Caenorhabditis elegans: one gene and its partner. The protein of the gene in region 1 purifies or fractionates together with the protein of each later gene. This does not show direct contact. Each region holds a gene or a part of one and is shown on either strand. Other genes may lie near its edges. The genes, in order: tsr-1 and ran-3.

The links.
Region 2: the proteins of tsr-1 (region 1) and ran-3 fractionate together in Caenorhabditis elegans (co-fractionation; one large-scale study listed by BioGRID). This does not show direct contact.

Annotation. Positions count from the first base shown.
Region 1 is NC_003280.10:2,467,463-2,479,750, reverse strand, and holds the start of tsr-1 (Xpo1 domain-containing protein), read left to right. Parts: upstream 1-6,380; 5' UTR 6,381-6,493; intron 6,494-8,514; 5' UTR 8,515-8,640; intron 8,641-8,686; 5' UTR 8,687-8,717; coding exon 8,718-8,891; intron 8,892-10,254; coding exon 10,255-10,539; intron 10,540-10,698; coding exon 10,699-10,839; intron 10,840-11,430; coding exon 11,431-11,792; intron 11,793-12,288. Other genes in the region: F53G2.12 (Complex 1 LYR protein domain-containing protein), read left to right, coding at 675-743, 944-1,139, 1,423-1,430; mnat-1 (CDK-activating kinase assembly factor MAT1), read left to right, coding at 1,475-1,563, 2,388-2,594, 3,310-3,423, 3,486-3,576, 4,240-4,494, 5,413-5,505, 5,560-5,643.
Region 2 is NC_003280.10:8,314,356-8,326,635, reverse strand, and holds ran-3 (Regulator of chromosome condensation), read left to right. Parts: upstream 1-1,583; 5' UTR 1,584-1,585; coding exon 1,586-1,663; intron 1,664-1,709; coding exon 1,710-2,028; intron 2,029-2,085; coding exon 2,086-2,423; intron 2,424-2,469; coding exon 2,470-2,764; intron 2,765-2,838; coding exon 2,839-3,410; intron 3,411-3,466; coding exon 3,467-3,574; 3' UTR 3,575-4,024; downstream 4,025-12,280. Other genes in the region: C26D10.3 (Pyridine nucleotide-disulfide oxidoreductase domain-containing protein 1), read right to left, coding at 1-196, 244-485, 533-980, 1,030-1,170; shw-1 (BTB domain-containing protein), read left to right, coding at 5,165-5,302, 6,339-6,430, 7,474-7,525.

The DNA of each region.
Region 1 (12,288 bases):
TAGAAAAATTAGAGCTTTTAAATGGATATGTATATGCCTGGAGTAGGAATTGCAAGTGCAAATATAGATTTTTAGAAATAAGAGAAATAAAGAAGAAATAAGATTTTTTCGATTCTTCCCAATTTTTCCACAATTTTTTACCGGTCGTTATTTCGAGGGTTACGGTAGCCCCGATAGTATGCAACCACCGACTACAGTACCCCAAAACAGCCGATTTTCACTTGTTTTGTCTGAAAACTCCGGAGTAGGCTGATAAAGCTGGTGTAGACATCGAAAATGAGGATTAGAAAATCTGGAAAATAATTTTAAAAGATGAAATCGAACTTTTTCCAATGACAATGAAACCGCCTGAAATTCAGTTTTCAACTTTGAATTTAGCCTCATATTTGAAAATTTTTATTCAAATTTTTTCTATTTTCAATAAATTATTTGTTAATTTTATTTTAAAATGCAGATTTCTCTTAAAATTGTGCAAAAGTGTGCAAAAGTCCGCAATGTTTATCTTTTGTCTGTGGTGTTTGCGTACAATACACCAGACCCGACGCGCATCACTTATTTTCAACGGATTTTGAAACGAAATTCTTCGATTTTTAGCGATTTTCATTCGATTTTCACCGATTTTTTTGCAAATTTTCACAGAAAAAGTAGCTAAAATTGCAGGGTTAGTGAATTTCATGAGCTCCGCAATTCCGAAGAGCGCCTGGGTCAACCTCTACAAACAATTGCAGAAGGAGGCTGAGAAAGTTGGTTTTTGGCTGGTTTTTCGGCGATTTTGATCTGAAAAAAGCTGGAAAATGCGGAAACTATGCTGAAAAACGAGAAAATCAACAAAAAATTGACGAAATTCGAGAAAAATTCGAAATATTTCGAATTTCGACCTCAAAAAATCAATTTCTTCGATTTTTCCCACAATTTCCCGTTAAAAATTCCGATTTTCTTGCAGATCCCACAGTACAACTACAGATCGTTCTTCCAACGCCGTATCCGTGACCACTTTGTCGCAAATCGCGCAGTTTGTGACGTCACCGAGCAGAAAAAGCTCTACGAAGAGGGTCAGAAGCAGCTGGAGTCGCTGAAACGTCAAGCGATCTTCTGCAAGCTTTATCCACACAATAAGACCATCGTGGAGCAGAAAATCGGTGAATATTCTGGAATTTTCGGCGAAAAATGGACAAAATCGTGAAAATCTGGGATTTTTTCCCAAAAAATTGAGAAATTGCCAATTTTTTAGCTGAAAAATTGCTTAAAAATCGCTGAAAATCAAGGAATTTCAACATTTTCCTCTCGAAAATCTTATAATTGGCAAATTTTTGATCTACACCAATTTCGGCGTCAAAATATGCATTTTTCATGGATTTTCGCCTAACTTCCTCTATTTTTCCTGCTTTTTTAGCGAAAAATCCAAATTTTCTCATTTTTCAGGTCATTAACTCCACTTTCAACCCAAAAATCCACCAAAAACTCCATTTTCAAGATGAAGGAGTGCAAAAAATGCAAGTCTAATGAATATACCAACAAGCAGCTCGTCATGATGATCAATGAATGTGGCCACCCGCTTTGCAAGTGAGAAAACGCCCGGAAAATCGATATATTGGCCGAAAAATTGGAAAAATTCCGACATTTTAGTGTGAAAATCCGTGAAAATCCGTGAAAATCCGTGAAAATCGCAAAATCGCGAGTTTTCTACCTGGAAATTTGGAAAAATTCGACATTTTAGCCCGAAAATGGCAGAAGTTTAGAATAATCTCAGTTTTTGGCAAATTTTTGGCGGAAAAAAACCGATTTTTCCACAATTTTCAACTAATTTCCGCTAAAAATAGCGGGTTCTCTCATTTTTTTTTAAATTGTAAGCCGAAATCCCAAAAAAAAACGATTTTCCCAAGTTTTCAGTAAATTTTCGAATTTTCTGTGCTCAGAAACTGGAATCCCCATGAAATTTCAGTCGGAAATTCGAAGACTAGAGGTTTCTAGCTCAATTTTGAAAATTCTAGCTAGAACCGCGACGCGACCGCAACGCGTGCTGTGAAATTTTGAATTTAACGCTGTCTGTCGAGAAAAAAATCTCGAAAATTGGCATTTTTAGCCAAAAAAAATTGAAATAACCTCGAGGATTTGAGATTTTCTTCAAAAAAATTTAGAAAAAGCTGGTATTTTTAATTCAAAATTCCAAAAAATTCCAATAAATTCCCTAAAACTTCATAAATTTTTGTGACTTGTGTGCTTCTATCATAATTGATGGTTTGAATAGTTGGTATTCTCGGCTGAAACATGCAATAAATACCGTATTCCAGCCAACAATTTGTGCAATAGGGCACATTTGTCACCGGGGATGCGGAAGCTATGCCCAAATTTTCATTTTCCACCCCAAAAACTTGCGATTTTTTCAGAAACTGTGTGGACAACATTTTCGCATTGAATTCTGGCAACTGTCACGTCTGCAACCGGGTCCTTCGAAAAAATAATTTCCGAGAACAAATCTACGAGGATCCACTTATCGATAAGGAGACTTTTCTCCGAAGAAAACTCAGAAAAATCTATAATCTGAAACAGGATGATTTTGAGAATCTTCGAGAGTTTGGAGACTATCAGGAGAGGTAAAATGGCAGAAATCGTCGAATTTTGAGCGAAAAAACGGAAAAAAATGCCTGAAAACTTGAAATTCCAGTGTTTTCAGCTCAATTTTCAGATTCTCCGTGAAATTTCAGCCTGAAAATCGAAAACTAGAACCTTCTAGCTCAACTTTGGAATTTCCAGGGTTACGATAGCGCCAAAAGTACGCAAACACCGACTACAGTACCCCAAAACACCGAATTTCACGCGATTTTCGAATTTTGATCTGAAAATTTAGGAATAGATTAAGAAAATGGCGGAGAATTCGAATATCGTAATGAAAATTTGCAGAAAATTTTTTGAACCGCTGAAATTTCCAGTGAAAATTAAAATTTCGAATTTTAGACGGTTCAAAAATTTTAAGAATTTTTTCTACGAATTTTCGATAAGATATTCGAATTCTCCGTCATTTTCTTGGTCTAATCCTGAATTTTCAGCTCAAAATTCGAAAATCGCGTGAAATTTGGTGTTTTGGGGTACTGTAGACGGTGTTTGCGTACTTTTGGCGCTACCGTAACCCGGGAAATTTCAAAATTGAGCTAGAAACCTCTAGTTTTCAGTTTTCCGACTGAAAGTTTGCGGAGAATTCGAATTTGCGAGATAAAATTGATTTTCAGACAATTTTCAGCTCCGAAATTATAAAAATTTTCAATAATTTCATTTTTTCAGCCCCTCGAATTCAAAATTTCAATTTTTCAGATTCGAGACAGTCGTCTACAACCTCGTATTCGAGACAAACGTCAACGAGACAAATGCCGAAATTCAGGCGTTTGAGGAGAAGCACAAAGAGCAAATCGATCGGAACAAGCGAAGGTACCGCCCGGAGCAACTTTTTATGTGAAAATTCGAATTCTTGAAAATTCCGATTTTTCCAGACTGGATGACGATCAGAAATGGATCGAAGACCAACTTCGTGAGGAGCGAGCGATGAAGGCGAGAATGACGGATCATATGGAGATGGACGCGGTTAGGATTGGGGAAATTGGACGAAAATTAGAAAAAATTCCAGTTTTCGGATGAAAAATCCATAAAAACCCAGCTTATCATCATGATTTTCAGGTTCTCCGTCGAATTTCGGTCAGAACCGCGAAAACTAGAGGTTTCCAGCTCACTTTTGACACTTTGAGGGGTACGGTAGCCCCAAAAGTACGCAAACACCGGCTACAGTACCCCAAAACACCGAATTTCACGTCATTTTCGAATTTTGAGCTGAAAATTGGGTTTTAGACTAAGAAAATGGCGGGGAATTCGAATTTGATAATGAAATTTCAGAATTTTCAATTTCAAATTTGAATTTTCCATAAAAATCTACAAAAACTTTGAGATTTTCCAATTTTTCATTACTTTAAACAGATTTCTTCAAATTTTCGTTTAGAAATTCGAATTCTCCGCTATTTTTTCTGTCTATTCTCAAGTTTTCAGCTTAAAATTCGAAAATTTCGTGAAATTCGGTGTTTGCGTACTTTTGGTGCTACCGTAACCCGCGAAATTTCAAAATTGAGCTAGAAACCTCTAGTTTTTGCAGTTAAGGGTGAAATTTGTGGGGAATTTGATTATGTATAGGGAAATTTGTTAAATTTGAGATTTTTTCCAAAAATTTTGAAATTTTTTCAATTTTTTTTTTTGCAGAAAGAACAAGAAGCCGCCTCCGCAGTCACAGACACCCGGAAAATTATGGACGAACTTCGCGATTCGAATGTGGCGGCCGAAGTAATTCTGGATCGGGAACGTAAAAAGCAAATCGAAAAGGAACTCGAGGAAAAGGAGGAACAGGAGAAACGAAAACGCCGAAATAAGGAGATGTTACAGACGAGAAAACGTGCCGCCGAGAATATGTCGTTTAATACGGTCATTCGTGTTGCCGGAAGGGCTTATGTTCACCAGGTTGGACATGAAAATTCGGAAGAAATCGAAAAAATGCAGCTTTTCCACTCGAAATTTCAGATTTTCAAGTCAATTTTCCGATTCTCCGTGAAAATCCAGTCTTAAATTCGAAAACTAGAGCTCAATTTTGAGTTTTCGAGGGTTACGGTAGTACCCCCGAAACACCCGATTTTATGCGATTTCCGAATTTTGAGCTGAAAATTTAGGAATAGACTAATAAAATGGCGGGGAATTCGAATTTCACAATGAAAATTTGCAGAAAAAGATTTGAACCTCGGAATTTTCGTATTTTTTAAAGAATCCTAGAAAATAGGATCTGGATATCGGAATTTCGAATTTAAAAGCTCAATTTTGAATTCTCCGCAAAATTTCACCCTTAACTGCAAAAACTAGAGGTTTCTAGCTCAATTTTGAAATTTCTTGGGTTACGGTAGCGCCAAAAGTACGCAAACACCGATTACAGTAACCCAAAACACCAGATTTGACGCAATTTTCGAATTTTGAGCTGAAAATTTAGGATTAGACTAATAAAATGACGAGGAATTCGAATTCCACAATGAAAATTTGCAGAGCCGTTCAAATTTCTGCTGGAAATTGAAATTTTGACTTTTAGCCGGTTTAAAAAAAATTTTTAACGAATTTTCGATAAGAAATCCGAATTCTCTGCCATTTAATTAGTCTATTCCTAAATTTTCAGCTCAAAATTCGAAAATCGTGTAAAATCGGGTGTTTTGGGGGTACTGTAGTCGGTGTTTGCGTACTTTTGGCGCTATCGTAACCCGGGAAATTTCAAAATTGAGCTAGAAAGGCCTAGTTTTCGCGGTGTAGTGCAAAATTTTGCGGAGAATTCGAATTTGCTATTGAAAATTGATTTTCAGTCGGAAAAATCTTTAAATTTTTTAAATTTCAATTTTTCAGCCCCTCGAATTGGTTATCAATGGTCCACCAATGCCAAATGTTTCGGAAATCGAGGCTCTCGGCTATCTGGCTCACATTCGACAGCCCACTGCGGTAATTTCCAGCGATTTTCGGCCACATTTCAGCCAAAGATTGGAAAATTTACAGGAATACATTGCCGGCGGCTACACTCCAATGCTCGGATGCTCACGTGCTCTTTTTGAGGCTCGAATCGATTTGTTTTCGTTCTAAATTATTGATTTTTCGGATAATTTTTCGTTGATTTCTGAGCATTTTTGCTCTTTTTTGAGCCGTTTTTTCCCTGAATTTTGGTCATTTTTTGCTCATTTTTGAACATTTTTTGATAGATTGTTCGTCCAATTTTTGTCCTTTTTGGTAGATTTTTTGTTCATTTTTTTTGCTCTTTTGTGAGCTTTTTCTTCTATTTTTTTGCTCTTTTTTGAGCCTATTTAACCTAAATTTCGTCCATTTTCTCTCAATTTTTCCCCTAATTTTTCCCTAGTTTCGGCCTTTTTCAGCTGAATTTTAAGTTTTTTTCTCCCTAATTTTTACCATTTTTTGCTCATTTTGGAGCATTTTTCCCCCGATTTTTGCTCATTTGAGCCTAATTTCCCCTAATTCTGACCATTTTTTTGTAGATTTTCCGTCCATTTTTTGCTCATTTTCGAGCATTTTTCTCCCATTATTTCCCTATTTTTGGCCAGTTTCTCTCAAATTTTGTGCTCTTTTTCCACCCATTTTTTGGTATTTTTTCTGATTTTCTAGGCTTTTTTCTCATAGATTTTCCTCATTTTTTACAAATTAAACGATTTTTCCGTCACTCAAATTTTGTTTCAATTATTTGGATTTTATTGGGTTTTTTAACCAAATTTTATCGATTTTCTCGTCTTTTCCCCAATTTTTTGTTCAAATTCAGCGATTTTTTAACAGTTTTCAGAAGATTTCTCAATTTTTCCTCTAATTTTCAGAACAAAATCACATGGATTCTATGGAAACGGTGTGTCGAGCGATCGACGCATTCTACAGCGGAGGACCCGACGTACAGCCCGCCCAACTTTTTTTGCAGGATTTTCAGGAATCGGTACGCCGGATTTTCGGATTCTACACAAAAAATGAGCCTGAAAATATGAAAACTAGAGCTTTCTAGCTTAATTTTGAATTTTCCCGGGTTACTGTAGCGCCAGAAGTACGCAAACACCGAATTTGAACCGATTTTCGAATTTTGAGCGATTTTTTGTGAAATCTGATTTGAAATTCAATTTTCTTGCCCAATTCTCGTCTTAAACTTCAGTTTTCAACTCAAAATTCAAAAATTTCGTGAAATTCGGTGTTTGCGTACTTTTGGCGCTACCGTAACCCTCGAAAACTCAAATTTGAGCCAGAAACCTCTAGTTTTCGATTTTCCGATTCAAATTTCCTGGGGATTCCGATTTTGACAGTTTCTAAGCACAGAAAATTCGAAAATACACTGAAAACATGGGGAAACCGTTTTTTTTTTTTGGAAATTTCGGATTGAAAAATGTGAGAAACTGATAGTTTTTAGCTAAAATTGGTTAAAAATCGTGGAAAAAATCGGTTTTTTACGAATTTTTTCGGCTAAAAATTTAAAAACTAACACTTTTTTCTGTTTTGAGGAACAAAAATTGAGATTTTTCTGAACTTTTGTCATTTTTTTGGCTCAAAATCTCGGATTTTTCCCAATTTCCAGTGATTTTCTGGCGAAAATCTACTTTTTTAACGCGATTTTCACAGATTTTCACTCAAAAATGTCGATTTTTCCAATTTTTGCCATATTTTCGAGTCTGGGAAATTCCAGATTTTTTGACAATTTTCCGACTTTTTCAAGGAAAACCCCTCGATTTTCTGATTTTTTTTAAATGAAAATCTCAATTTTTGGGCTAAAAAATGGCAAAATTTCAGATTTTTCTTGAATTTTCAGCTAAAATTTCGAAAATCTCGTGAAATTCGGTGTTTGTTTCGAAAAATCCTCGAGAATGCTCTAAATTTCGAGATTTCTATTTAAAATTCGAATTCTCCGTTCAATTTGAGCTTTCAAACTGGAAACTAGAGGTTTCTAGCTCAATTTTGAAATTTCTAGCCGAAACCGCGACGCGTGCTGTTAAATTTTCGAATTTAACGCTGATCAGGCTGGTTTGGAGGAGAGAATCGCAAAAAATCGGAAAATTTCACTATTTTTTCCGCCAAAAATTGAGATAGCCTTAAAATTCGAACATTTCATCGAAAAAATTTAGAAAAATTGGCATTTTTTAATTCGAAATTTCAAAAAATCTGGAATTTCTGTGACTTGTGTACTTCTATCCTAATTGATGGTTTGAATAGTTGGTATTCTCGGCTGAAACATGCAATAAATACCGTATTCCAGCCAACAATTTGTGCAATAGAGCACATTTGTCACCGGGGATGCGGAAGCTATGCCCAAATTTTCATTTTTCACTCAAAAAACTTGTGAAAATTAGCAAATTTGGTAAGAAATGAAGTTTCTGATAAAAATTTTAACTTCAACTTGACAAAAAAAACAGAAAGTCTTAAAATTCGCAAAAAATCTGAAAATTTGGTCCAAAATTTTCTGAAATTTCAATATTCTCGGTATTTTGAGTTCCAGAATTGAATTCCTCATAAAATTTGGCTTCGATACTCGAAAACTAGAAGCTTTTAGCTTCATTTTGAAATTTCTAGATAAAACCGCGACGCGACCGCAACGCATGCTATGAAATTTTCGAATTGAAGCATAAACAGAGAGAGATTTGAAGGAAAAATTGCATTTTTAGCCGAAAAATTGAGATAACATTAGAGTTTAAGATTTTTCATCGAAAAATTCGGAAATATTTGGATTTTTCTACCCAAAATTTGAAAAATTGTCTTAAAAAAATTCCTAAATTTCTGTGACTTGTGTGCTTCTATCCTAATTGATGGTTTGAATAGTTGGTATTCTCGGCTGAAACATGCAATAAATACCGTATTCCAGCCAACAATTTGTGCAATAGAGCACATTTGTCACCGGGGATGCGGAAGCTATGCCCAAATTTTCATTTTTCACTCAAAAACTTGCAATTTTTTCCATTTTTTCAAATTTTTTTGCAGTCGCCACGGAGCATCCGCTCATGATGCTCAATCAGAAGCCACATCTACACAGTTATGCCTTGCCATAGCCGACTTGTACATTCAGGTGCCGACGTGGAATAATTGGATTTTTGAGCTGTTGAATCAGTGCGTAATTTTGAGAGAAATGCCTGGAAAAACCTGAAATTTCCAGATGCCAAGCCCTCGAAGGCGACCGTACCGTAATGACACTGACTCTGCTTCAAGTATTTCCTGAAGAAGTCGAACAAATCCGTGGAGTTGGCGAGAATCGGCGGCACGCGATACGAAATGAGCTCGCCGCTTGTGAGCAACCGATGATCACTTTCTTGTCGCATGTGCTCGAAAAGTTTCATTCGAATGCGGATGTTCTCAAGAGAGTACGCACTTTAACCTCCATTATCGAAAACCGGAAGTCGCTAGCTTTTAAGCCGAAAAAATTTGAAAAAAATCGGCTAAAAATCCGATTTCTCTCCGACCTAGACGATTTTCATGCTCAAATTCGAATTCTCCGTTAAATTTGGCTCTTAAATTTGAAAACTAGAGCTCTTTAGTTCAATTTTGAGTTCTCGGGGGTTACGGTAGTGCCAAAAGTACGCAAACACCGGCTACAGTACCCCCAAAACACCCGATTTTACGGGATTTGCGAATTTTGAGCTGAAAATTCATGGGTAGACTAAGAAAACAGCGGGGAATTCGAATTTTAAATTAAAAACCTGCGAAAATTATTATGAGATATCGAAAATTAACAAAATTTCGAAATAATCCTTGTAAATACTCTTAATTTCGACGTTTCTATTCAAAATTCGAATTCCTCACAAAATTTCAGTTGGGAAACCGAAAACTAGAGGCTTCTAGCTCAATTTCGAGCTTTCGAGGGTTACGGTAGCCCAAAAAGTACGCAAACACCGACTACAGTACCCCCAAAACACCCGATTTGACGGGATTTTCGAATTTTGGCCTGAAAATTCAGGGATAGACTAAGAAAATAGCGGGGACTTCGAATTCAATTATGAAAACTCTGAGAAAAAATTTTTGAAGTACTGAAAATTAATTTTTTCGGAAAATTTTTCGACTTTTGGATTTTAAAACTAATGGTTTGGCTGAAATTCTATTATTTTCGGATTCCCCGCACAATTTCAGGCTAAATGTCGAAAACTAGAGCTTTCTAGGACAAGTCTGAAATTTCCCGGGTTACTGTAGCGCCAAAAGTACACAAACACCGATTACAGTACCCCCAAACACCGAATTTTACCCGATTTTTGAATTTTGAGCTGAAAATTCATGGATTGACTAAGAAAATGGCGGGGGATTCAAATTTCCGCATAAAAATTTCGAGAAAAATTTTTGAACTAGTAAAAATTCGAATTTTTGCTGAAATTTGGAGGTTAAAAGATTTTCCAGCAAATTTTTGATAAAATATTCAAGCTCCCTGTCATTCAATTAGTCTATCTTTAAATTTTCAACTCAAAATTCGAAAATCCCGTTAAATCGGGTGTTTCCGGGGGTACTGTAGTCGGTGTTTGCGTACTTTTGGCGCTACCGTAACCCTCGAAAACTCAAAATTGAGCTAGAAACCTCTAGTTTTCGAGTTTCTGGCCCAAATTTTACAGAGAATTCGGTTTTGAAGTCGGAAATTTGAAAATTGAGTTGAAAGAAAAATTTTCAGCACAAAAAAAAATTAAAAATTTTTTTTTTTGAAATTTCAAAAATTTTTCCCTTAAATTTAAAGATAACTTGCAGGTCTTCAAATGCTTAGAATCGAACCTACAAAACCATCAAATGCGTACAGATCACTTTGCCGCGTCACCACTAATTTCCATGATTTTCCACGTGATCGCCTCGATCGACCCGATAATTCCGTCATGTCTCCATGAAACTGCGACAAATTGCATTGTACAGGCACTTTATCGTGTTGAAGACCTAGAAATGCACAGAAAACTCGCAGAAGTTGTGCATCGCGGAGTCATTTCACTGGTTTCGGCTTTTGAGAAAGCTCAGCAAGTGGAGGATTTTGATCGGCTTCAGGTAGCGGAAAAATGGAGAAATTTGGTGGATTTTGAGCTGAAAAATTGAGAAAATCGATAAATTTCGGCCCGGGAAATGTGAGAAATCGATTTTCGGCGGAAAAATCCATAAAAAATCAATTTTTCCCCAGAAAAAATCAATAAATTATCGATTTTTCAGAATATTGCTCGTATATTTGTTGAGATGGTCGAATCCTTCTATGTGCAAATCGTCAACGAAGCGAATCCGGATCCGGCGGCAATCGGGAGCCTGGCATGCTTTGAGCTTCTGCTCCTAGTCGCTAAGCACCATGATTGGGCTGTAAGTTGACTAAAATTCGATTATTTTCAGATTCCCCACAAAATTTCAGCCTAGACACCGAAAACTAGAGCTCACTAGCTCAATTTTGAAGTCTCGGAGGTTACGGTAGCTCCATGAGTACGCAAACACCGACTACAGTACCCGAAAACACCAGATTTTACGCGATTTTCGAATTTTGAGCTGAAATTTTAGGATTAGTCTAAGAAAGCAGCGGGGAATTCGAATTTTATATTAAAAACCGGCCAAAATTATTACGAGACATCGAAAATTGGCAAAAATTCGAGAAATCCAACAAAATGCTTAAAATTTTTGAATTTTCATCTCAAATTCGATTTCCCCATAAAATTTCAGTCTGAACCGCGAAAACTAGAACTTTCTAGCTTTGTTTTGAAATTTCCTGGGGTACGGTAGCGCCAAAAGTACGCAAACACCATCTTCAGTACCCCCAAAACACCAGATTTTACGCGATTTTCGAATTTTGAGCTGAAAATTTAGGATTAGACTAATAAAACAGCGGGGAATCCGATTTTGGCACGGATTTTCAGATAAAATTTCATTTTCAAGCTAAAAATCGCAATTTTCTTGCTGCAGCTCATCGAGATGTCATTCAATGTGTGGTACCGTATCACCGAAGAGCTCTTCAAATATGACGATGATCAATATATTGGCCGCTTCCGTCCGTACGCTGAGAAATTCATTCAATGCCTCTACGAACACTGTAAACTTGACGCCGATGACGTCGATGATCTACTCGATGAAACTTCAGAATTTGGAGAATTCCGCCTGAAAGCCGTCGAAGCTCTACGTGATGTTGTATTCATTGTGAACTCGGATAAATGTATTCAAATGATGCATCAGAAGCTTATCGAGTGCTGTCATAAGCCCAACGCCTCGTGGGAAGAGTCGGAATCGGCGCTTTTTGTGATGTCTGCAGTGGTTCAGAACCTACTGCCGTATGTTTTTTTTTAAAGGGAAATTCCAGAAAATCTGAGATTTCCCGGGCTTTTTTTGACATGTTTTGGCCTTTAAAACATGCAGTTTTTCGAGTTTTCACTGAATCCCGAAAAACCCCGATTTTTGGCCGAAAAAATGCAAAAATCTGCTGAAAATCACGAAAAAACTGGATTTTTAGTAGGCGAAAAATTTACAAAAAACACTTTTTTACCAGAAAATTGGAACTTTTTGACCGAAAAACAGTAAAAATTGCCAATTTAGTCGAAATAATTATTTTTTGGACGAAAAAATTATGAAAATCGATGAAAATTCAGAAAAAACCGGGAAATTTCGTGAAAAATGGAGATTTTAGTTGAAAATTTTCAAAAAAAAAATTTTTTGTTCGAAAAAAACTGTGTGTTCAAAATTGGCTGAACAACAATTTTCAATTTTCTGGGTATTTTGAGTTCCAGAATTGAATTCCTCATAAAATTTGGCTTCGATACTCGAAAACTA
Region 2 (12,280 bases), 5.9 Mb from region 1:
TTGATGGTTCTGTGGTAGTCAGTGCACAAACATCTCCACATGCAAAAACATTAGGAAGTGAGGTTTCGCAAGCGTCGTTGACTTTAATTCCACTATTTTCAGTGATTTGGAGCATTTTATTCATAGCCCAGACTTCTGAGTTGGCAGTTACACCTCCTGCCCAAATAAAAATATCTGGATTGAGCTGGTTATCTGCCTTAATAAAATAACTAGGCTTAATGGTACGATAACTTAAAATGATACCATCTTTTCTTTATCCATGTAATGTACCGACAAATTTTGGGACGTATCGGTGCTTGTTATAACACAATTACGCAAGATAGTCACCGATCGGTTTTCAGATTTTTCCGAAATTTTCTGAAAGTCTATTTGAGAACACCAGTCGGGACCCAACGCTGGTCCAGAAGGGTTGTTCATATTTTCAGAGACAGATTCAGAAGCAGCTACATGTTGAAGATGTTTTTGTTGTCCGTCATGCTTATTACCTGAAGTTTCAGATGAGCACGCAATACATGAAATCTCGAGAACGAACCATCTATCCGTCCCTTCAGCAATCGTTTTTCAATGAATTGTTCGATGTCTTCCGGAAAGAACGAAGCACAGATCCAAGGATCTTTGATCAGCCATGTCACGTCGAACGTTTTAAGCTCAAAGATCAATTCAGTAGCAATTCCCCCGTTTCCGACAATTAGAATATTTTTTGCATTTTTTAGTTTAGTCTTCAATTGAATCGCGCTCTGTGTATCTCGTAAGAACACTATCCTGCGATCAATTCCCAACTCTTTTTGGAATTTAGGACGAGATCCGGTAGCAATGCACAGTTTATCGTATTTCAGTTTCTCATTGTTTTGCAGATGAATTTCATTTTTTGAAGAATCCCACGTAACCACTGTGTCATTCAAGAATCGAATTCTACTATCTGGGAAGAGCTCGTGGCAATTTGTCTCTTTTACGTCAAATTTCTCTCCGTACTGCCCGATCTGAAAATTTCCATATAATTATTAAACTTAAATGTTTTCATCAACTTACTTTTTGATAGTTCTCCACAGACTTCACGAAACTTGACGCGGAGATTATAATTACTTCCAAGTTCGCTGATCTTTCTAACTGAAGCATTTGACTGGCGCACGAAACTCCAGCAATTCCACCACCAACAATTATATATTTCATGCTAAATATGTTCCAGTTAACTTGAAAACCAAGTTACCCTCAATTTATTCGCAGGATACGAATTACTCGAGAAATATATCGAGAACATTGTTCTCCGTGGAGCGGCCTTGCAAAACTGCGTGCGCGCATTGCAAATTTCAAAAGTAGCTCCGCCTCCTCACAAAATTCATTCGTTTTTGTAAACATCTATTTATTTTTTTAAATTTAAGTAACTTCTTTTTAATCATTCTTCTTTAATCTTTTTTTAAAATACCTTTTGCGCATTTGCGCACACCCGTTGCATTTCTTCTATCGGTATCTTCTCAGAACATGGTGTCTCTCCAAGTTTTTCATCTCTTGTTACTCTCCTAAACTTAACCTTGACAGGAAATTGTTACCTTCATCAACTTTCGATATTATTCTTTTGTTTTCAGAAATGTCAACTGCGGAGCAAAGAATGGACACCTCAGAGGTAGAACTCCCGAACGATAATGTAAACGAACAAGGAAATAAGGTTGGTTTCGTAAATCAACAATTTCGTCATATTTATTGATTTTCAGACACCACGAGCTGATCAGCCAGAGTCGAGTGCTTCGGGTGCTCGAAATCACGGAGAAGACGAAGAGGTTACCGAACAAGTTGAACTTGCTGCCATGGAAACTGAAGCATCAGACTCTATCGTCGACAATGTTCCCAAAACTCCCCGGAGAGCTGGACGCCCAAAAAAATTACCATCTACTTCTACTGCTGCCGCAGAGTCTGCTGTAACTCCAGGCAAAAGAGGTAGAAAACGTAAGGGTAGTGAATCAGTAAACACCACTATTAATAGTACGATGAACTCGACCCTTAATGAGCCTAAAACTCCAGGACGGAAACAAGGTTTGTTGGTTTTTCAAATATATTTTCTGAAACAACAACATAAAAATAATTTTTCAGCTAAGTTGGTTGCACCACTTCTAACTTATGACCTGTTCGCTCCTTCTATTATTGGCGATCGAGTTTTGTCGTGCGGAGAAGGAGAAGCTCTGGGTCACCCAGGAAGAACCACCACAAAAAAGCCACGGAAAGTTGATATTTTTGAAGAAGAAGGTTTAAAACCACTTCAAGCCGTCGCAGGAGGAGTTCACTCAGCAGTACTTACCTCTGAGGGTGAAGTTTATATGTGCGGTATCAACGAAAAGGGAACTGTTCCCGCGGAAGGTGTAGAGAAGGAAGGAAGTACCGACGAGTTTGCGAAAGTAAAGTTCGAGGAAGATATCGAGAAGGAAGGAAAGGTTTGTATGCTGTCTTATTATTGTTTCTATTCAAATATTATTTCAGATTGTAATGCTAGCCGCTGGAGCCTCGTTTACCGCTGCTCTCACTGATCAAGGATCTGTAATTGCCTGGGGAAATCTTCGCAACTCCAATGGAAACGTTGATGTTCATCCACTCCTTCATAAGATGCAAGAAGCGCCGGTGGTTATTGTCCACCAAGCTAAACGTAAAATTGTGAAGATCGCAGCTGGCGAGAACCATCTCGTGATGTTGGATGAGAAGGGCTGCCTTCTCACGTTCGGTGATGGAGAAATGGGACAGTTAGGACGCAGTAGTCGTACCAAAACTATTCGTTCAAGTGAGATTTTTCATAAGTTTGTTTGGTTTATGAATTAATGTTTCAAAATACATCACAGATTACTTTTATTTCAGAGTACATGTGCGATGAATCTGGTGATCATTTACTCGTGCCCCTCAGATTTAAGCATAAAGGAAAGTTCTTTGACGTTGTTGCTAAAAACGTGTTCGCCAGTGGATTTTGGACTATTGTCCACGGAGAAGACGGAAAATACTACGCCTTCGGACTCAATAACTATGCTCAACTCGGTATCAAAGTTGACGAAGCTGATGTCGGACAAGACGGACAGGACAACCGCGAGCTTCGGGTTTTTCTTCCAGCAGAAGCCCCAGCTTTTGGAGCAGAAAGAACATTCGTTAATATCGAAGGAGTCCAGCATGTCGTCATTCTCGGAAGTGATGGAAAAGTGTTTGCTATGGGAAAGAACACAGACAATGCTCTCGGCCTCGGTAATTGGACTGGAAAGGACGACCAACAGCATTGGTTGTACGATACAATCCAGGAAATAGAATTCGATTCGAAGATCGTTGGTGTTTCTGCCAAACTAGCCACTTCTATCGCCTGGTCTGAGGATGGAACCGCCTACGCTTGGGGTTTTGATACTACCGGACAACTTGGTCTCGGATTGAAAGACGAAGACGAGAAGGTAATTTTTCAAAACTCAAACTATCAATAAATAAAATATTCAATCTTATTTTCCAGATGGTGTCCAAGCCAGAGGAGATCAGCTCCGCCCATCTTGACGGTTATTCGATTATCGGGGCTTCGATTTCCGATCAGCACACTTTGATTATTGCCAAGAAAAATTAAATTATTTGGTTTTATTCTCAACTTTTATATCAGTTTTGTTTTGTCTCTGTAGCATTATTTTGTTATTTTTTCGTTTCCCGGTAGCCAATTCGATTGTTCTCCAGTAACATTCTCATCAATTTTTCTGTTTTTTTTATCATTTCATTTTTGTCAAGTAGCATCAGTCATGTAAGAAAGGGATAGAGTTCCCTTCTGTGAAAATGGAGAATTGTTGAAACGTCGTTGCACAACGACGTTTAAACACTTCACTCTATCCCTGGATTGATTTCCAACTTCTATGTTTTCTCAAAACCCCCTATTAGTTCTGCTATATATTGGAATCCAAAAATTTTTCATTTTTAGCCTGAGTTATGTTGTTCTCTTATCATGTGAACTCACTGTTTTATAATCCGTTTCACCATTTATGGTAAACGTTTCCTGGAAGGACAAATAAATCAATGGGTATCTGTGAAACAATGTACACTCTTGGTTTCGTTTTTTTTTTCAATTTTCAGAGAGCTTCTAATATTTGCTATTTACCCACTTATGTTGTTTCCTTTGCTCATTATACGAGTCGATTTGAATGCAAATAGGCTCCTAATCCACCTCCAATTTTCCCTTTATTTTTTGGAATTTTGAGCTACATCTCCAAAACTCCCTCATAGATATCTCAATTCTCTAGTACAACAACGGCTTTGAAAGCGAGTCTAATTGGGTGCCGGAAGGGACCGCCCTTCTCGGATCATGCTCGGAGCAAAAACCTCCAAAGATGAGTACACGTCGTCTTTTGACCCAGATTCTAAATATATATTCAAATTGTCTTCAGTATGAAAAATTGGATACATTTGCGTAACTTCAACACTTTATTATGCGAAATCTAATGGCTCATTGAATTATTGGTAGTTGTTTTGCAACCTTTATGCTATTATATAGGCATCTAAAGATGAGCATTTTTCGCCATAGCTTACATAAGTGCACGGGTTTTGACACGTGGACACCGAGTTACTGTAACTCAATATTGCACCATGTTTTATTAAGAAACCATGAGATCATGAGAATGCCTACTGTTTTTGGCGCGGGAATATCTCGTAGCGAAGGCACCTAATTCTCTCGTCGCCTCTTAAAATAAAAATTTAGTGCAGTAAATGCCTGTATGTTAGCTACCGTTTGACCTTTTTAAAATTTTCAGAATATGCTTGCTGGTACAAACTATTCTAATAAACAATAATTTCGAAAAAAAGCGACTAATTTCTTCTTGACTGAAAATTATCTGATATCTATCTAATTTCTTTGGTTGTTTTGACACAACTGACAACATTATAATAGTAGCTATAAAGAATCCAAAATCCTTTTCTCTTTTGTTATTGCAACAACTTGATTTGAAAATTTGTCTGATGACGTTGTCAGTCAGATTCTCATTAAGTTGGCTTCTGTGCTCGACTTTCAGGAAATTGAAATCTCATCTCTGTATTTCTTTGTTTGCACGTTTTGTTTTGGACCTTTGCTACCCTTTTCACTATTTTCTATCAATTTTCCTCTTTTAATTTCATCAATCTTTTTGCTCGTTGTGCTTGATTCATTTGGCACCCACATTTCTTCCAATTCCCATTTATGTCATCCAAATCACTTCCCAACTACGATAGGACGTCAGACGACGTGGATGCATCGAAAGAAGTCGTCGATACTCCAATTCAAACAATCAGTTCTTCACATGTTTCTTTCCAAATAACTACTGATCCAGTACCATCGGTTTGTGATTTTTTTTAGTATTTTGCATGCTCACATGATATTTCCAATAAAACCAAATAACTTTGAAGTTAACGAAAAGGTGTAAAAATTTTAAGCCTTCACCGATATTTTTAGCATTTTCTTTTCACTGAATGCTACCTATAGTTGAATTTTCGAACGTAATAAAATAACACATGTTTTGTGAATTCTGTGTGGTGCATTCGATTTTTGGTTTTTGTGGTTTTGTGTCTCAGTTTTCAAAACTAACTTTCTGAACTTGTAACACAAGTCCTAGTATGCTCTTTACGTAATCTTGCTCTTCTATAAACATTTTACTTCATAGCAAAAATTTAATACAGAACATGTTTTGATAACGTTGTTTCACCTGCATCTATTATTTTGTAAATAATTTCTAGTTTTCAAGGATTTTTCAATGCAGAAGCTCTAGCTAATTTTTTTTGCAAGTATTTCTCTCAAAGCATAATATACGGGCTCAGAAATCGATTTCCAAAAAAAGAAAACGAATTTAATGTTTGAGATATACCTTAGATTTCAGTATTGTAGTGCACTTACTATTTTATTCAAATGTACTGTAAGGCTGTGAATGTGACGGCTTACATTACAGTTCAATTTCAAATGTTTTATCTTAGTGAAAGCCTTCAACTTTCAGAATATATATCTTCTGAAAGCTTGCAGTTAACAATCTAGAAATCTATTACGGGAATATTAAACTGGAACTTTTGGAAAAACTGAATAAAATGTAGATTTTCTGGGATAACAGTCTCTTTGAAAATGCATTCTTTTTTTTGACAAGGTGTTCAGACAGTCAATTAAGATTAAAAAAAAATCACGAATTTTATTGAACTTCCTTAGGTTATCGCTTTGAAATTTGCTGTATGTAAGTGTGCTGTAGGTAGGTACGGTAGAAATAATTTTAACCCTAACTGATCGTCAAATTGCAACTCTTTTCATAACATTTCAAACAAACTCTCTTCGAATTTTCACTCAAATGCTAAACATCTTTCTGGAACTCTGAAATCCATAATATTATTTTCAGATGGATTATCTTTCAATTCATGAAGATGACACATCAATGTCTTCATCAGAACGTACAATCGAAAGGGGATTCTCAAGATATGGGAGAAAAAGGTATGCTAATTTAAAGATATCTTTGCAAACGTTATTGTTTTTCTGTTATGGGTTGTGAGTAATCTTCTTCTTTTCTTCATAACTATGCCATTTATGCTCTTGTATATGCTTTTCCTCCAAAATGTCTCAATGTGTTTTCTTTGTTTCCTTCCGTCCATTTCCCTTTTCTCACTGATCCACCGTTATTTTTTCCGCGTTGTCCACCCACAAACACATATTCGAAACACATCTAAAAAACGGCAAAAAAAGAAAGGAAAAGAGTAGATAATCCCGTTTTTGACACACGAGAAGTCTCCTTGTGTGACACCCGAGACATTGTCAAAAGTTGGAATTAAAGTGGACGACGTCGTCGACAAGAGAGCAGCACGATGCTCCTTTCCGCACCTTTCCTTTGTTTAATTAAAGTGCTTTTGCAGAGATGAAGCACAAAAGTTGCCACTTTGCATCAAGTTAACATTTTTTCACGTATCAGTTGCTTGCACTTTAGTTTTTTTGCCTCCAAAGTAATTGAAACTTCCAATGCTATTTTAACAGTTTGGTTGACCAAGTTGTGATTTCTGAAATTCACAATAAAAGCTTCGATTTTTTTAAACTCTTTTTTTCATTGTTCAAGCCTAGTATTTTGAGAAAACCCTACACATTGCAGATGTTTTTTTTTTCGGCTGAAAACAGACAGTTGCAATAGGAACGCCATTTCATTAGGCTCAGAAGTTTTGACACAAATATTTTCCAATTTCCGTCGTCTCCGTTAGCAGTTATATATATTTTTTCAATATTCTTGTTACCTAGAGAAATTTTCAGCCTTACTTAACATTATTATATGCTTTATTTTTTCTTATTGTTGTAATGTAATTTGTAGAAAAAATATTTCAAAGTTCAGAGGAAGTTTTTCGGAAAGCCATAATCTTTTCAACAAGTTTTTGCTAACTTTCAAAATTGCGAAAAACCCTCATTAGTTTCATTTAATTCAAGTCTGAATTTAACTCTACATCTAACATATTTGTATAAATTAAAAATAATTGAATTGAAATTTTTTTTTCCAGATCATCGGTCCGGATGCTACTCGACGAGGTCAATATGACTGATCGGAAAACAGTAAGTTTTTTTTTAGTATTAACGTCATATTAATTTTTAAAAAAGTACGGTATAGATTTTTGTGTTGATCCAGAAAAAAAGCATTTTCGAATATCTCTAGCAAGTCCTTGGTAAATTTGTTTAAAATTCCAAAAGCTCCAAGATTTGATTTGATTGCTCAAATCGAAAAAAAATCCAATTGACCTTTATTTCTTTTTCTATAAATACTTTAATGCTTTTTATCTCTCTATCTTATTCTCTTCTCAATTGATTGCTGTGATGACAATCAATTGTGTTGAGTTGTATCATCTGTGTCTTCCAATGTATGTGTAACATCACAAAAACACCAATCAACGACAAGTGTGTGTATATCTGTTTGTGCTCGAATATACTTGATAAAATACTCGCTACTGAAAATAAAAATGGTGAATCTGCAACGGAAGGAGGTAAGACGAGGTGATAAATCAGATCGAAATGGGCTTTTTGTTTTGTCTTTCCGGTGAGGAAAGGGGAATAGAAGAGCGTGACTTTTCCTTTTCTTTCTTCTACCAGAACATCTTCTTAGACGTCTTCAAGATGCACCGGCTTCTTTGAATTTTTTTGAAAAATGATCCTGTGAGCGGTCTGATACATTTACATTTCGATGCTCTTTTCCATTTTTCTTATTTCTTCGTTTTATGCATTTTCTTTGTCGGGTAAAAAGGAAAAAAGGCAACCTTTTGACACTTTCGATGATGTTGTGCGGCTTCTTCCATTCATTGAAACTCGCCTTTCCATTTTAGAAATTGACTTTTGCGGGGCTCCGGCATTGAAGATTTCCGCATACTTTTTATAGGTTTGGATGCACTTTTGGAAAATCCTGTTCTTTGATGTTGTTGAGTGACTTTCAGACATTCAGTGCGTGCTGTAATTTTATTATTTGCCGATCACACAAAATTTTAGTAATTATCAGATTTAATGTGTTCTTTTGCTTGAAGATTTGATTGTGGAAAATATCTAGAATTTTCAAAGCCACTTGTAAATTCACTTGACTTTAACCTAACTTCTCAATAATCTGAGAAAATTCTGTTCGAATATGTACAATTTATAATCCATATGCAAATGATGTTTTCTATCTTTAAACGGCGGAGGAACTCTTTCCAAATACTTTTCTTTGATTCCATCTATGTCACTCAAAACTCAAAACTAAAACTCCCATAACTCTCAAAACTACTTCAATTCAATTCTTCCCTCTCCATTTTTATTATTTGGCACCCTCGAAACTCTTTATTCTTTTAAAAACTATAAGTGTGTCTCTATTTTATTCATATAAGTTTTCAATGTTTTTATTCTTTTGAAGACTTTCCTTTTTCATGTGACTTTCTATTGTAAAATTCAGCGAAATGGATCCAGCTCTGCTTGCATTTTTCAAACCTGCCGAAATGGCGAGTCCCCAGAGGAGAGAGGTTAGTTTGTTGGGAATTAAATTTTGAAACTAAACTATGAAATATGGGTCTCCCAGTATTTTTTGTCATATATATACTTGAAATATTTCCATTCAATTGTTTTTTCCATATCTGCAAATACTCCATTCATCATTTCTCGCGTTCAAATTTTTCCAAAAATTTCATCCCATTTATTTTGCCATTCTCCTTTTGAAGCTTTCTTCCAAAAAAAAATTTACTGGTGCAGGGGTCTTAACCTCAATTTTTCAACCACCTCGCACATCCTACTATTTTCTTCGATTACAGCTCACCGAGCCTTCCAATTCAATTGTCTAAACTAAGCAAGTCTAACCTATCTCTCTTTTAACGAAACTTCTTTTAAATATCTAAATTCATGTCTTTCTCCTCTTGTTTTACTTACAAAATTCAAGTTTAAAAAAAGCAGTCCAATAATGTAATAAATGTTTTTACAACTAAATCCAATTAAAAACTAGGTTTAAAAATTAACTTTTTTCGTAATAAGGTAATAAGGTACTAGAAAAAATAATATTAAGCATTTTGCATTCATTCAAAAAGTCTTTTGAAATTAGTATTTTATTAAGTAAACAATTTCAAAAAGAGTTTTAGACTCAATTGATTCCAAACCTAAACAACTTTTTTTGAAAAGTATGAAATTCCTACATACCAATTCCGTTTTGTTTCTCTTTTTCAAAATTTATATTGTTTTCGAGACAAAAGCGTCTTAGAAAAAGAGCTTGTAAAATAATTTATCGTCCTTTATTTTGTTGTTTTCTTACCCGCACACGCGGGAGACCAGTTCAGAGTCTTATCTGGAATTAGTTAAAGATTATTTCATGAACTTCTAACTCTTTCCCTTTTTTCCACTTCACTGTTCCATTTCACTTTCTATGGCGAAAAAAACTCTTTAAAGTGAAGACATTTTTTCAAAATTACAGCTTTTAAAATTAGATGTAAATACAAACTACGTGTTTTGAGCAAAGTTTCTTAAATTGGATCACTTTTATTTTCAATTTTCTGATTCATAATCGTCGTTTCTCCAGTTTCTTTCATTTTCTTGTGTTATAGACCAATCATTTTCTTTCTTTTTCTCAACATTTCCTTTGTACATTGTCTCAAACATTTTTGAGTTATTCTTTTACACTTTCAAATATGTTGCAGTTTTCGGCGTAGAAATATTCAAAGAACACAATTTTCTACATTGACAGCTTGAGTCGCTATTTTTTTTTGGAATATTTTTAAATTTATACAAACAAATTTAAAATAATGATTATTTTAAAAAGACGAACCGTTTTATAACCGTCGGAGTATGTTTCAGTGGTTTTAAAGGAAATCCCAGTAAATATCATATTTTTAAGACTATGAAAATTTTCAGAAAATCTGAAAAATCAAACATATTTTTAGATTTTTTCAAGATACCGAAAAGGTAATATCCGGATTTTATTTTCAAAAATCTATTTCTTTCAGTTTAAACTTCAATTTCTACTAGTCAATATTCCTGTCGTGGCTAGAAAATTTACTTCGACTGGAAATGTCCAAAAACACTATAAACACCCAGAATTGGTGTAGCTTTTACAAATTTCCGTCGTTTTTTTTAGGTCAAAATTTTCCAAGCAAATTTTTTTTGCGTTAATAGTTTTGGTCAATGCACTTTCATGTATGAACAAGCACAGAAACCTTCTATCTCTTAAGCACGCCCAATTTCACCTCATAAAAAAGCTATTACTGTTGATTTATGAGTTTTCCATCTCTGTCGCCAGGTAACGGAGATCGACTCATATTTTCATCACTTTTTCATCAAAAACCAATGGACGAAAAACATGAAAAATGACTTTTTTCTCCTTCAGGACCGCTCAGTGTTCCAGGGGTCCTTTCCACCAATTTTCTACTCTTTTTGGTGATCTTAATATGTTATTTCCTTTTTCCTTCATGTCTTTATAATAGCTTCCTTTACTCCAATTCAGAGTTGCAGTATTCCAAGTATATAGAATGGCGGGCGATATTCACCCAAAAAAGGTGCTGCTTAAAACAAAGGTAAGTGTAACTATTCTAGGTTTTCAAGTCAAGTGTTCTTCAATGTGAAAATTTTTATATTCTATTGTGAAAAAAAATCGACTCATTAATTTTCTATGTACGTTTTTAAAAGGGTGTATATATTATACTTTCCGTTGAATTTATTCAATATACAAATTGATTTTGCATACTATTTAAAAACAAGCTGATTGAAGTTTTGAAGTTTTGAGATATGTCAAGCTTCTTGTAGATTGAAAATGATTCGAATTGTTTTAATTTGAAAACTGAAAAATATCTCAAAGGCCTATAGAAAATTGTTTCTCTGGTTTCGTTCCACATGATTCCTCTACCAGCATTCTGAAACTTGTAAAATCTGTGTGATACCACTCGAAAGTTACCAAAGTTCTTGTTTTCTCCTACTTTTGTCACGTCATCCGATACGGGGCATGTTCTTGTGTCACTGATGCTCCTGAAACATGATCCCTCATCTACTCCCAACTAACCAGTCTGCACTTTCTTGATCTGTAACCGAAGCTTGCTTTTCCTCTTCTAACTGGCCATCTTTTCTATTCTTTTGCTGCTCTACAAGATCCCATTAGACATCCCTTCAAATGTCATAAGAGGCTTTTGCTAACCGGGGTGTCATCAAGATTTCCTCAAAAGAGAACCCATTTTGGGTGGTGTTAATGGGACACCACAACGTTCTACATTTCAATTTCTTTGCCGGGTTCTCGTTTAGTACCGCGGTTCTTTTTTGTGGCACCCATTTTTGGGAGCAACAAGGGGAATTAGTATTTTTGCTCTTTTGTTCAAAGAGAGTGAAAGAGAAAGGAAAGAAGAGCTTTAGTGCCCTCTCTTCCTCCAAAAACGGAGAAGCTCCTGCTTCGTCCCTGGTCCTGGACGCTATCATTTCTAAAGTGGACTCTCTTCGAGAAACATGCGCGCTTCGATTTATCGGAGGGCTCGAGAGAATTCGAATGAAACATCATTGGTAAGTATTTTTGATCCCTTTTTTTCGATACAGTTCTGTTTTCAAATACCGTTCTTTTTGTAATTGTTTCAGCTGAATAATGTACGTTTTGTGTTAGTGAAACCGGTTGACAAACTAAAATAAATGTTAAAATTTGAAGCTGTGGATATTTCTTAAAAATATCTCAGCTGCTAGTTTTAATTTAGTTTTCACATTCCAGGCTATCCTATTTTTGTTTTGAATTCTGAAATATACGTTCGATCAACTAACTTTTCTCAAATTGCAAGCCCATTAAATCCCGTCTACTCTCCATTTATATGGCTATCTTTTCAGGAACACATCTGTGGAACT